Linked DNA regions of Pelodiscus sinensis. The protein of the gene in region 1 purifies or fractionates together with the protein of each later gene. This does not show direct contact. Links are inferred from orthologs where the notes say so. Each region holds a gene or a part of one and is shown in the gene's direction. Other genes may lie near its edges.

Region 1 (7,376 bases):
TGAAGTTTGATAAATTAACATGAGAAAGTTCAGGTGCTTAATCGGTTTCATAATGTAATATTTCCTTTCTTACTGGTTCCATTAAATCATTCTTCCTAGCTGCAGCACTAGCAAAATGGCTTGGGCGTAATTATGTAATTAACAGTGACTGGGGGCCTGTGGAAAGGTTTGCATTGAGCCAGGTGGGCCATGGGCCAAAAAGTTTGAAAACCACTGGCCTAGAATAATCTGAGGTGTTAACTGTCGTCTTCCCCATCATCACCAATGGCCTTTTTCTGGCACCTCCCACAGACTCCATCCCCTTCTCCTACCATGCTTAGCTGGGATGCCACTTGAATTCTGTTACCCTGACATTGTTATGTTGGATGCATATTCAGTAGGGGATGTTTCCTTTTCCCCTCATTTTTATTTCCTCACCTTGCTAATGGGGACGTGTCTTTTTCCAGCAGGTCAGTATGTCGTTGATCTCAACTTATCACGTGTCAATTCATTACCATGGGCCTTTTGTGGTTCTCGATCACATTTACAATTTCTGTCCTACCCAGTTATTCAGTCTGGTCTCAACTGGTTATGTTGGGTTTTCTAAGTAACGATGTTCCTGCGAAACGCGAGGGCATTCTTGGGTGCGCCTGTGGCATGCAAAGTCCCTCGCTTGCACCGCCATGGAGCCGGGCAAAAGGTCCCAAGCAGATGTGAGCTAACTGCTTTCTGGGTGAAGGGTCCCACACAAAACTAACAACTTTGCCTTGCTCAACATACAGGACGTGGCCTGTAGGTCTCTTGTGTTACAGCCAAACTACCAGAATAAACAATTGTTTGGGGAAAAAATACAACAGCAGCAGGGGGGTTAGCTAGAGCAGGCATTGCCCTTTAAGCATCTTTTTTTCCTTTTGTCCTTGCGGCCTAGAAAGAGTTGCACTGAACAGTGTCTTGCTTAGTCTTCACACTTGCTCTGCAAAAATACTTGCAGGGTCAAAGCCGTGCCCCCCCCCCCCCAACTGCTAATTAAAACAGTATGTAATGCTAATTTAATTAAAAACCAGTAAATGACAAAAAGGGGCAGATATAATTGTATTCATCACCTGCTTATTAATATTAATTGTATGGAAGTTAATTTAGCTAAATAAGGGTTAATGTAAAGTAGTAATAAATGGGCAAATTAACATACTAAAATAAATAAAGTCTAACTGGTGCCAAATCATTGCCACTCACAACATTGTGTTGGGGGTCCAAGGTAAATGTGCGTCAACAGTAAAGTAGTCCATTAACCCTATCTGCTCCTCTGCCGCCTGTTTCTTCTCAAACATCTGGCATTATGAACAGGATCCCAGGGGAGAGTTGTGCCAGATCATCCTGTCTCCATGGGTAAGTCTGATGGGCTCTTTACTGCAACCACTGTTAGGGATTTTATTAACAGATTGGTAGGGAAATGGGAGGAGATCCTTATATGGATCCCTCCAGGCATCTTCAGGATTGGTCTGCCATTGAGGGGTGGGTGGAGGCCTCCCTGGCATCCAGGGATAGAAAAAGGTTGTGCTGGTGCAAGCTCTGTGTGAGGCTCTGTCGTGTTTCTGAAAAAAAGTTACTAACCTGAAAACGAAAATAACTCCACAGCAAATTGCTAAAAAGCAGCAAACCGTTAACCAAAGTGTGTTGGCAGCCACAATGGCTGAAAACGCATGTTATTTTTAATTCTCTTAAGTTAATAAAACCTGGCTCTAAAGAGTCAAACAAATGCCTTAAAGCAAGCTTCTCACCCCCATCCTGTCACCCACCTCCAGAGAAACAGAGGCTAGGGACACCATTCCTACTCTTCCTGGCTAATAACCATTGATGCACCTAACCTCCATTAATCTATTCAGCTCTTTTTTGAACCCTGTTAAAGTCCTAGCCTTCACCACATCCTCTGGCAAGGAGTTCCACAGATTAAACTGTGTGCTGAGTGAAGAAAAACTTCCTTTTGTTTGTTTTAAACCTACTGCCCATTAATTTCATTTGGTGATCCCTAGTTCTTATATTGTGGGAATAAGTAAATAACTTTTCCTTATTTACTTTTTCAAAACCAGTCATTATTTTATAGACCTCTATCATATCCCCCTTCACCCTTGTAAGTCTCCTCTTGTCTAAGCTGAAAAGTCCGAGTCTTTTTAATCTCTCTTCACATGGGACCCGTTCCAAACCCCTAATAATTTTTGTTGCCCTTTTCTGAACCTTTTCCGATGCCAGTATATCTTTTTGGAGATGAGATGACCATATCTGTAACTAGTATTCAAAATGTGGGTATAGCATGGTTTTATATAGAGGAATTAAGATATTTTCTGTCTTATTCTCTATTCCTTTTTTAATGACTCCTAGCATTCTCTTTGTTTTTTTGACTGGGGCAACAACAGTTTAAAAACAGCTTTGTCATGCAGAGTAAATAACAAGACAGCAAACATGGAACTGCTATGTACTTCAGTCACCTTCCTGATTAAAATGGTTCACCTTGTCTTAAAAGACAGTCTTTTGCAGCTACCCAATTTGCAGCCAAGGGTTTTAATTCAAACACTTATTGTTTTATGAAATGTGGCTTATGAATATAAATATTAATAAGTCAAAGGTGCTTTAGACAAAATACCTCATGAAACCTATAATGTAACAGTTTGCTGGATCTGTATATCTTATTTTGGTCCGTGTATCATTCTTGTATGTGAAGTTAGAAATATGAAGTGTGAGTCTGTTTATAGTTTAAAATGTATTAATGAGAGCCATTACTGGTGTTCTGGAAGCCTAATGACTTGGTGATCAGCTCAGTGACTTGTGAGCAGCCTTATTTGTCCTAAAAGCCCAAGTGGTGGTTGGTGCTAGAAAAACAGGTGACCATACCACCTGGTACTGAAATCTTTTTTAATTCTGTTCTCCGTGGCACACCTCCGACTGCCTTGGAACACAGTTTAAGAAACACTGACTTAAATCCCACTGTGTGTACTTAGTAAGAACACTTTTGTTTACTATCAGACCCAGTGTAAATAATTGTTACCTGGAGGGAAGCAACCACTCTGCTTCTTTCTGGCTATGTCTACACTGCAGAGCTTTTCCGGGATACTGGCGATATCCCGGAAAAGCTATACCGCATCCAAGGAACGTGTCTTTTTTCTGGACAGTTTCCCAAAAAGCAGACGTGTTCTTTTGGCATCTCGGTAGTCCTCATTGTATGAGGAAGAAGGGATGTTCTGAAAGAGGAGGTTTTTCCGAAATTTGGCCCCATGCAGTTGGCCAAATTTCAGAGAAGCCTCTTCTGAAAGAAAGAAAAAAAAAAAAGCGGAAAAAGATACGCAAATTGTGCTTTGCAATTTGCGTATCTTTTTCTGACTTTTCTTTGCGGTCTGGACATAGGGTCGTAGAGGGGTAACTTTCAAACCACGCAGTCCTGTGGCACCTTAGACTATGTCTACACTACAAGGTTTTTGTGCAAAAACAGCCGTTTTGGTCAAAAACCGGTGGAGTGTCCACACCTCAAGCACATCTTTGCGCAAGAAACTCAACAGAGCCGAGGGCTTTGGCCAGCAGCGCCTCCTCTGGGCGAGGATAACTCCTCTTTGCACTACAGCTCTGGGGCACAAAGGCAGGCGTGGCAGCGGGGGGCTCCCGGAAACGCGCAGGTGCGCTGTCCTGGCCGTGCGGGGGGACGCTCGCTGGCGGCCGGCGCGTGTTTGCCGCGGAGCCCGGCAGTGCAGACAGAGCCCAGCGCCTCACGGCCGGGCCGGGCGGCTTGAGGGAGCGGGCTGCTCCAGATCTGGGTCCGGTTACCCCAACTCTGCGCCTGGGCTGGGGGGTTGCTGGGCCCTGTCGCAGGCGCTCAGCCACAACCAACGGCCGCCGCAGACCGTTGCAGTCCGTGTTTTCCCGCCCGGGCGCGCGCAGCGACCGTTACCAGCCGGCCCGCAGCGTGGGGGCGGGGCCAGCTTCCGCAGAGGCGCGCGGCGCCCCCCCCCCCCCCCCGGCGTCCAATCAGCCTGTCGCCGACCTTCTGCACATGGCGGCATAGTCCAGTCCCGCACGTACTCAGGACCTTCCTCCTGCTCCTGCCACCCGCGGCGCGCTCCCCCTCAGCGACCGTCCCCCAATGGCGGGTGCACCCGCCGCGCCAGTCGGCCCGTTCCACGCCCTCCCCTCGATGGCGGCTCTCCGCGCGCGCCCCTTCGAAAAGCCGCAGAGAAATGGCGGCCGCCCCTCGTGACCTTCCAATGGCCGCGCGGCCTGCGCGGGACGATGACGTCTCCGGACCGTCGCCCTTTTTCGCGGGCTACTTGTCGTCACGTCTGGTAGGTGAGGTCAGCGCAGGGGCCGCCATTTTGGGTGGCGGGGCCCGGAGCCGAGCGGGGGGCTTGGGCGGCGGCGGCCCGCAGCGGGAGCGGCCCCCATGGCCGGGCAGTTCGACGCCGAGGACCGGGCGAGCTGGTACTGGGGGCGGCTGAGCCGGGCCGAGGCGGTGTCGCTGCTGCAGGGGCAGCGCCACGGGACCTTCCTGGTGCGGGACTCGGGCACCATCCCCGGGGACTTCGTGCTGTCGGTGTCCGAGAGCTCGCGGGTCTCGCACTACATCGTCAACAGCCTGGCGCCGGCGGGCGGCCGCAGGGCGGGCGGCGAGGGCCCCGGGGCCCCGGGTGAGTGCGCCGCGCCGGGGGGGGGGTTGTCCGACCCGGGCCTCGCTCGCTGGGCGCGGCCCAGCCCCCTGCTCGGGCTCCGCGCGGCGCGGGGCTTTCCCGCCCCCTGCGGCAGCGCTCGCGGCGGGGCAGCCACTCGCCCCAGATCGCCCGTCGCTCGGGGATCGCCCCGCCCGCCGGAGGCAGCTGACGCTCTAGCGCTGCCTGGTCGTGGAGCGATCGCACGAGGCGTTTGAAAACATTTGGCATAGTAGAGACTTGGGGGTGTGGGGGAAAGACCGTTAAATTCCTCGTTTTAATGAGAGATTCTTGAAGGGGGGGGGGAGATTTCCTTTGTTTAATTTCAAACCTCCAAATGACCGAGTCTGAAAAGGAAATATTTGAATTGCGTAATTTAAGTATTTAAACCGGTAACCTCTCTGAGATGTTACAAGTGGATGCTAAGCAAAATTACCCTGATTTTCTCCTTTCATTTGTGGAGAATAAGCAGATGTGTTATGCCTTCTAGAATGGCTTGAAATCTGATACATGAAAATACAAGTGTCAAACTGTGTTTTTAATCCAGTCACACAATATCATACATATAGGATCAAAGAAAAGTGGTTATACTTACCGGCTGGAGGACTGTATCCAAAAGCAGTGCTTCTGAATTTAGGAGTCATGCTGGACACAAGTTCCCAATGCAGCGCTGTTGCTAAAAGGAGTAATGTGATCCTTGGATGTATAAATGGAAATATTGAGCTGTAAGATACTACTTTTGAGTGGAGGATCACTGTAACCATTATTAGAATGTGTTCCATTCTATTGGCCACACTCCAAAAAGAATATGGAAAAATTTCGAGACAGTCCAAAAATTAGTCTCTTTGCTATTCTGGAAAACCTGAAATTCAGCAAGAGTAAATTAGTTCAATGTATTTAACTTTAAGAGGCGGTTACAAGGTGAATTGAACCTGGTATTTAAGTACCTTTGGAACCAGGATACTTATTCTGGAATAAAGTCTCATGTTTGCCTGTACAGACACATCAGAAGACCCAATAAGCAGTAGGGACTGGAAGTTGAAGCTAGTCAAATTCAACTGGAAATAAGTGTAAACTTTTGTGTGGAGAAGCAGCTAACTTTGGGAACAATTTAACAAAGAATGTGATGGATTCTCTATCACTTGACTGAATGCAGTCAAAATAGGACATTTAACAAGACATCTTCTTCCAAATTCAAATACAGGTTTTTGGGTTTGAGAAATTAATACGTGAAATGTTATGGCTGGTGTCATGCTGGACGGAATAAATTATCATAATGGTCCATTCCGGTGTCAAACCTTTTGAGTCTGAATTTTCTGCACCACTGCCTTTAAAATGGCACCAGAATGGGCATGGCAGATATGCCAGCCTTTCTGCTGGGGTATTAGCTTTTGTTTTGTAGTGTGCAAGATGCTTGGATTATAGGAACATAGTAATTCTCACACTGGATAAAACACATGGTCCATCTGATCCAACGTTTGTTCTGTGATGGAGGCCGGAACCACACAATTCAGAGGAAGGTGCAAGAAAGCTTGCAATAGGGAGTTGCAAGATAATCTGCTCCCTATTAAAACTCTCACTGACTCCCTAATACTTAGAAAATAGTTTGATCCCTGAAGCCTGGCATTTTTATCAGAGATGTGAATGGTTAACCAGTAAGCTTCACCCGTACCGGGTCATGCTTACCAGTTATGGTTAACTGGGAGCAGGGCCAGACTGGAGCAGCCCCCCCACCTGCTGTGGGCAGAGGGCTGCTCTAGTCTTTCTGGGCCAATGGTGTGTCGGCGAGGCCAGAACAGCCCATTGCGGGCAGGGGACGCTTGCAGCAGCCCAGCCTATGGTGCGTGCTGCAGACAGGGGGAGGGGAGGCAATCTAGCCCAGCTGGAGCAGCCTCCATTTAAGCAGTTCACTGGTTAAACATAACCTTCAGTGGTTAAATGATTAAATGGGATTTTTGCATCCCTAACTTTTAATACTTCAGTATTTACTATTAGCAATTTAATGTCCACTCTTTTTTAGTATTTTTCTTAGTCTATGCCATTCAGTAGCAGAGTTCCATCTTATAACCTGCGGGCAGGGAACCTGGCTGGGCTGCCATGGACAGGGGCTGCCTCAGTGGGCTACTTGCTAAAAGTGAGGCTTACTGGTTAACCTTTTACATCCCTACTGCAAACAAACAGCCTTCTTTTCCTGAGGCAGGGTCACTAGAATATGGAGATGTTTTTGGAGTGGGACAGATATCACTACTGAAAAATTGGGGTCCCAAAAGGACTTTGCTTTCCTTCTCAAAAAAGAGCCTAACACACACATCGTGAGCTTTTGTGGGTAAAGCCCACTTCAACAGATGACTGCTCATCAATGTAGATAAGTGAATGAAGTAATGGGATGGAGGGGAAAGAGTACAGTACAAATGTAATATAATCCGGCACCTTTAGGACTCAGAGGGTGCTGGATTATCAGATATGCCGAACTATTGGAAGGGGGGGCTATGAGGGGTCTGGGGTGGGGGGATACCACCTCAGACCCCTCATAGCCCCCCCTTCCGATAGTCTGGCTCTGCCCCAGGCATCCCTGGTTCAGCTGCTGCTGGTCAGTTTCAGCAGCAGCTGAATCAGGGAAACCTGCAGCAGAGCAGCTGGAGTGCTGCCGGGTTGGTCTGGTAGTGCCGACCCTTGGCGCGGCGAGACCAACCCGGCAGCACCCCAGCTGCT
Region 2 (7,022 bases), on another chromosome or scaffold:
CTGTTGGAAGAAAAACACCTAGGCATTTTCTACACTTTTAACATCACTGTTAATGTTGCCTGTTTAACCTAAGCATTTCCCCCTTTGTGTGAATATATATGATACAGTCAGTTATGGCATGAGCACATACTATTTCTCATATCAGGAGCAATATTATCATACTATCTGTATCTGCACTCGTCTATACACATCTAGCATGCGTGCAACATGTACTACTCTCTGTTTGAGAAAGAGTCTAGGGGTGTCACATGAAATGTCCTTTGTGAGCTGTACATATAGTATGCTATATGCTACTAAAGAACACTGCTCTGCACATATGCCCAGCTAAATCTGCCTCCTAGCTAACTCCTACAGTGCCTGAATTGCACCTAAGAAAGGACATTTGCTGGTTAAAATGGGAAAGTTGGTGTTGACAAAATTATCAGAGGATGTACTGCACCTTCCAGAGCAGAGAGATTGTTATATGGAAACTCCAGGTTAAGAAAGAGATATTGGACTATTCTGGCAAAGGAATTAGTGTCAGGAGAAGAGGCTGATAAAAGCAATACATAACAGTATCTACAGCAAAACAGGTGTGACTCTATTATTTAAAAAATAGTAGGTAACCATGCAATTAAATACCATGAAAAAATGCCAATGCCTAATGGCTATTGGCCCTTAAATATGGCATCAATTGAATTTAGAGATCTGGAATGTGCAATGTTAACATTCTTTTAATGTTTGTTTTATTTATGATGTTTTTTTCCAGAGAGCTCTTAGGTGCCCAAGTCTGGTGTTTAGGAACCTAAGCACCTTTGTAGTTCTGAACCTAAGTCTCAGATTCAAGTGCCTAAGAGTAGGTCTACACTGCAAAGGAAAACCCACAGCACTGAGTCTCAAGGCATGTCTTCACTATAGGCTGGACGGACACACAGAGATCGATCCAACTGGGGTCAATGTACCCTGTCTAGAACAGATGTGATAAATCAGTCACCAAGTGCTCTCCCATTGACCCCAGTACTCCACCAAAACAAGGAGAGTAAATGGAGTTGATGGCAGCATCAGCTGTGGACTTACCATGGTGAAGATACTGCTGTAAGCAGTCCTAAGTACATCAATTTCACTGATGCTATTCATGTAGCCGAATTGTGTAACTTAGGTTAATGGCCTGCGGCAGTTCAGACAAGGCCTCAGAGTCTCAGTCAATTGGCTTGGGCTCACAGAGTTCAGAATTCACAGCTAAAAATGACAAGGTAGGTGTTCCCGCTCAGGCTAGAGCCAGCTCTGAAACCTGATGAAGGGGTAGGGTCCAGCCTAAGTGGGAACCTACACACTGCTAAGTAGCCCTGCTCAATCCCTACAAGCTTTTATTTATCCACAGTGAAACAGCTTCCCCAGAGAGGCTAAGGGAGCCCCACATTGGAGCATCCCATGGCTTAGTGGTAGAGCACTCCTGTTCACCTCCTCTCTCTGTCGCTGCACCTGAGGGGGGAACTGAAAGTGGGCCTCGCACATGCAATCTCAGTGCTCTAACCCCTGGGTTAAAAGCTATAAGGTGGGTGCTCCCACCAACTGCTCTGCTGCCAACCATTTTGCAAGGTGCAAGTCAAGCTTCTAACTCATTCCAGCAACCCTGGGGGCACCAGGTTTTGTGAGGCATAAAGACACCCCTCCCAGCCTATGCAGGCTTTGTTAGCGATAGCCTCAGGCCCGCTTCTGAGCATCACCATGGCTTTCCCAGCCCCTGTTTTACTGGACACTAACACTCACAGATTAGGTGCTCCCAAAGATACAGCAGACACCAGTTTATCCATTTCCCTTCAGATCGTTGCTCTGTTGAACACACGTGTTTAACACACATCACCTGGACATGAAGATAGTGAAAACAAGTATCTACACAAAGTATGTAGATTGGAGAAGTAGCAAACGAGAATATTGGAAATAAACAGTTACATGTAAAATAAAATCATCGCACGCCTACAGGTGCCTAGACTTAATTAACCAGATACTATCTTGTCTAGTCGTTGCAGCATTTTCCAGCCACGTTGGTTGTTCCTCAGTTCATAAGACAGACCACACTACCAGCTCATCTCTTCAGTGAAGGGTACCCTGTGTCCTCTTACATACTTCTGATATATCAGGCTAATCCTTTAATCTTAGTCATAAATAGGACACCCTCCTGCTGTGTGTCCCTTTCCGTAGATTTTGTGATTTCTTGTCAGTTTAGGAATCTCAGTTAGCTGGTGGCTCAATATGCAAATAGACTTATGTTATGAGGCACACATTACACAGATAATAGAGATATGTGTCAACTTTCCCCTGCCCGAACAGAGTCATGTTTATTGCTCTCTGGGGATCTGCATTAACTCACACCCCGTAACATGATTTTCAGTACAGTTACATAACTCTTTAAATATCTTCTGTGTAAATATCTCACATTGATTGTGATGACCAGTGTCATGCTGTCTATTGGTAAAATTGCATCGCCTGTGTCCTCTGTCCTTTGGCATCAAAAATGCCTTGGGTCACAACACCTTATGTTCCTAAGCCTTATGTCTCCTGTTCATGATCCTGCAGCCAGGCCTTGTACTTATCTCTGAGGCTATGTCTACATTTGCATCTGACTGATAACACTTTCATTGTTCATGGAAGCTTAACCCTCCAACTCCGTGAATGACAAAGTTTGCCACGGCAAATGCACATGTGAACACTGCTTTGTTGGCAGGAGCGATAGATAGATAGATAGATAGATAGATAGATAGATAGATAGATAGATAGATAGATAGATAGATAGATAGATAGATAGATAGATAGATAGATAGATAGATAGATAGATAGATTTGGGGTCTTTTTATGTGTCTTTGCTTTCTGAGCCTTGAGGACACTCCCAGGTCAGGTCAGCCTTTTCTCTGCAAACACTTTTTATATGAAAGCTGATGGTGAACAGGGCTAAAGGCATCATTAGACACATGAGCAGAGGTGTGAGCAGGGAAGGGAGGTGACAGCCTCTGTGAGACTGTGATTGGACACTGCAGCCTGTCCTAGGGACCGCATTTTAAAAACTTGTTGAAAAATTGCAGATAGGGCAGCAAAGAGCCAAATGTATTGAGGGCTGGAGAAAAATGCCTCCTTGTGAGCTACTGAAAGGCACTCGATGTGCTTAGCTTCTACAAAAGAGGTTGAGAGGTGACTTCATAGAAGTATTTAAGTGCCTTGGAGAGATGTCGGGCAGTAAAGGGCTGTGCAGAGAAAGGCAGAATGAGACCAGTGGCTGGAAAGTGAAGCCAGACACATTCATATTAGAAATAAGGCACAAATATTTCACAGTGAGGATGCTTCACTGTTGGAACAAACTACCAAAGCAAGTGATGGATTCTCCATTTCTAGATGTTTTCTAATGAAGACTAGATGTGCTTGGATCAAAACTTAGCCACTGTGATATACAGGAGGGGTGGAGTAAGCAGGGGTCAGATTTGATGTTCTAATGGTCCCATCTGGCCCTAACTGAAAGTAGGAATAAGAGATCCTCCAGAATAGGGCTTTATTCCGGAGGATCGGGCCAGTCTAGACGCTTTTTTCTGGCTTTTCCCCAAGCCGGAAAAAAAGCGGCGGACATGTTTATTTAAATCCCGTGGGGGATATTTAAATCCCCCGCGGATTTCCCTATTCCCACTTTCAAAATTAGCATGCCCCTTCCAAAGAAGGGGCCAGTGTAGACGTAGCCACAAAGTGTCTGGCCAGGATCAGGACACCAGCTTGGGACAGGTGGGTGTGACGGTGACATCACAAAAGCCTGCTGCAGGACCTCAGCCTATTGGGGGAAAGTGGTAGGGAAGTGGTGACCTCACAGAGAGACCCTGACATCAGCCAGGCAGGACAGAGCACAAGGCAGGGGCAACATCAGAGACTTCCATGGCTCTGCAGCAGCAAGACTCCTTCTCAAGGTCTCTCTCTGGGGACCAAGAGAGAATTAAACTAATCTACATGAGCATGAGGAGGAACTTCATTGGAGTTTTCTCCATCCCTACTATTGATTTGTAGCCCCTGTTTAGAAGGTAAGAGCCTCAGAGTATTGGGACCTGTCTGATCCACCTGGTACCAGTTGAATTCTAAGCGTAGAAATCACTCAGTTAAGATGAGTTCATTTTCTACCAAAGACTCTGTCCTAGAAAGATGGGAAGGGGGCGGGGGAAGGACGTTGTTGTCACTGTAGCTTGGATGACAGCTGTCACCCTTACAAAGAGGTGGGGCAGGAATTGCTCTGAGACTGATCCTCTCCAGAGGTGACCTGGGCCACTCTTCAAATCCTCTGCTGAGACTCCTCTGGGCCCCTTAAATCTCTGCTGGAGTCCTGGGTGGCAAGCTCCAGGAGGTACTGAAGGGCTGGCAGAGGAAGGCTAGTCCCTAGCCCCTCCCCTTCCACCTAAGACTCCGCCCCTTCCAGGAACATGGAGCCGCTTCTCCCACACACACACCTTGCCTAAGGGCCTGGCAAGTCTTGCTCTCAGAGGCTATGTCTACACTACAAGGTTTTTGCCAAAAAACGTGTGTTTTTGCACAAAAACCAACAGAGAGTCCACACCTCAAGCACATTTTTGCACACAAAAAATACAGTAAATCGACAGGACAGAGGGCTTTTGCTGGTAGAGTTATTCCTCTCCCCATGAGAAATAGCTCCTTTTTTGCACTACAGCTCTTGTGCAAAAAGACAAGTGTGGACACTCTGCAGGGGTTTCTTGCACAAAAAGAGCCTATCAGAAAAAGCACAAGCGCTCTGATGGCCATTCAGTTAATGGTCATCAGAGCTTTCTTGCGCAAGAATATCCATGCAGTGTGGACACTCCCCTATGCAAAAGCACATCACTTTTGCGATGCACTTTTGAAGTGTGGACACGCTTTTGTGCAAGAAGTTTTTGCGGAAGATCCCTTCTGCAAAAAGCTTCTTGCACAAAAATCCTGCAGCCAGAAATATAAACAGCTGGGTGCTACAGCAACAAAAAGCCCATACCCAAATTTCCCCAAGGGTGAAGAATGGAGAAGAAGCTGCATGTGACACATGCTGAATCCCCCAAGCTGCCCCTGTCCACATGGTAAAAGAGATCTTTCCAACCACCTGTGATATTTTCTACCCTCCCTTTGAAATCAATGTGGCTGAGGCTAGCTCAGCTGCTCCTATGGCAGCTTGGTTTTAACAGATAATGTTAACACATCCATTGCACTGATGTCATATGGCAAGCTATATGGGCATTAAAAGATTCTCTAGCTGTGAAGTTGGTCTGTTAGTTCCCTGTCAGGAAGGAGAGGAAACATTTCCTTTTTTAATGCTGTCAGACTATCTTTAAAGACCATTTCTTGGCTGCAGAAGGGAGCGGGGAAGAGAGAGAAGTCCCTCTTTTATGTGCTATACATTGGGGAGGCCGGCTCTATGCGTAGGATGATCAAAGAAACCCTGTTCTGATGGAATAACCTAGGGGACTTAGGACCCTGAGGACAGAGAGATTGTGGCAGCAAGATTGCCTGCAAGCAATTAGCTTCTGCCAGAGTTGTGGGATTTTCTTCTCCCTTTGAAATCAGTGTGTCTGGGGTTGGCTCCACCGCATTTATAGTAACTAAGTTTAAAAAGAGAATAACAACAACAAGCCTAGTGCATTGACATCATCTGCCAGACTACATATGAAATAAAGCACATTCATTCTCTAGCTGTGAAATTATTTAGGTCCTTCTATACCAGGAAGGAGAAAAAGCATTTTTTTAAATGGTGTCAGAGTACCAGAGTGGCTGGGGCAGGAGCCGCTGCTGCCACAAGACACAGTGATTAAAACAAGATGATTTTTATCCAGAGCCAGCTCTGAAACAAATTGTTTAAAAGAGAAGTTTATTTAGAACTCAGGAGTACTTGGAGTTCTTTCCCATTTATTCCACACGTAGAGCCCAAGCCTGGAGCTTTTGGAATTCCAGAAGTGTTTCAAAGTGCCTAACCACTGTGTTGAACTATCCCACCCATAGGCCCCACACTTCTGGGGACTCTCTGGTGGCTTCCCCAATTCCCCTATGGATGGGAGGGGACCTGGAGGATTACAGGGGCCTGACATAGCAGCAGCAGGGGGTCGCCCCAGAGCAAAGTAGGCTGCAGGGCTGCTCCAGCTCCTGCTGCCCACATGGCCATGTTGCTCAGAAGAGGGGGCAATGGGGTAGAGCGGGGGTGAAATAGCAGCTAAAAGGGGCCTGCAGTGGGGAGTGCCCCGGGCTTCACCTGAGGCCCTGGCGGGGGAGGAGGGGTTGCCCCAGTCCCGTGTCCCCCTCAAGACAACCCTGTTGACCACAGACCAGATTATTCAATGAGAGGATTTAAGATGCCTACTGCCCAGACTATCCCTCCTTTCCTTTCCACCTGATCCAAACCTAGCACAACTGATACAGAGAAGGAGGGAGGCTTTGTTTAGATCTGCATAGTCAACACCAGAAGAAAACATGCCTCTTTCCTGCATGTATTTGCCTCTGCATATTCCCACTGTATGGAATTACAAAGCAGGAGCAATTCCCCAGGCACAGGATGGAGGAGTACATTTTTTTAACAAAGAGATGGAAGGATTCTCTTCAGTGATCATTGAGAAGTGAGCCCCGAGTCTGTCCCCACTGTTTAGAGACTAGATAAAGATATGAATTGAGCTCCAGGGGGAGGCCGGACAAATCTGTTACCATGTAGTCACAGTGTCCAGGAAAGTTATCAAGGCAGCTGCAGTTCAAGGGGAATGAGCTCTAAAATCCTGCCCTAGTGATTCTCTCGACTGCTTATCATAGGCTTAATTTCAGCCAATGGATCTACTACAACTGACACTTGTTGAGGAACTGGCCCTCTGCTGTGTCTTGTTCCTTAGTTATTCTCCTGGGCTGTGTCTACATTGGCACCCTTTTCCGGAAAAGGGATGCGAATGAGACACTTCAGAATTGCAAATGTCCCAGGGATTTCAATTTTCCCTGCGGCATTTGCATGAACATGGCTGCCGCTTTTTTCCGGCTTGGGGCTTTGCCGGAGAAAAGCG

The links.
Region 2: the proteins of CRK (region 1) and ASAP1 purify together in Homo sapiens (affinity purification with mass spectrometry; 3 studies listed by BioGRID and IntAct, with this or other methods). This does not show direct contact. The link is inferred for Pelodiscus sinensis from reciprocal best matches to the Homo sapiens genes CRK and ASAP1.

Annotation. Positions count from the first base shown.
Region 1 is NC_134731.1:1,453,117-1,460,492, reverse strand, and holds the start of CRK (adapter molecule crk), read left to right. Parts: upstream 1-4,317; 5' UTR 4,318-4,402; coding exon 4,403-4,646; intron 4,647-7,376. UniProt on the Homo sapiens protein: Involved in cell branching and adhesion mediated by BCAR1-CRK-RAPGEF1 signaling and activation of RAP1.
Region 2 is NC_134712.1:15,525,932-15,532,953, forward strand, and holds the start of ASAP1 (arf-GAP with SH3 domain, ANK repeat and PH domain-containing protein 1), read left to right. Parts: upstream 1-3,927; 5' UTR 3,928-4,034; intron 4,035-7,022. UniProt on the Homo sapiens protein: Possesses phosphatidylinositol 4,5-bisphosphate-dependent GTPase-activating protein activity for ARF1 (ADP ribosylation factor 1) and ARF5 and a lesser activity towards ARF6.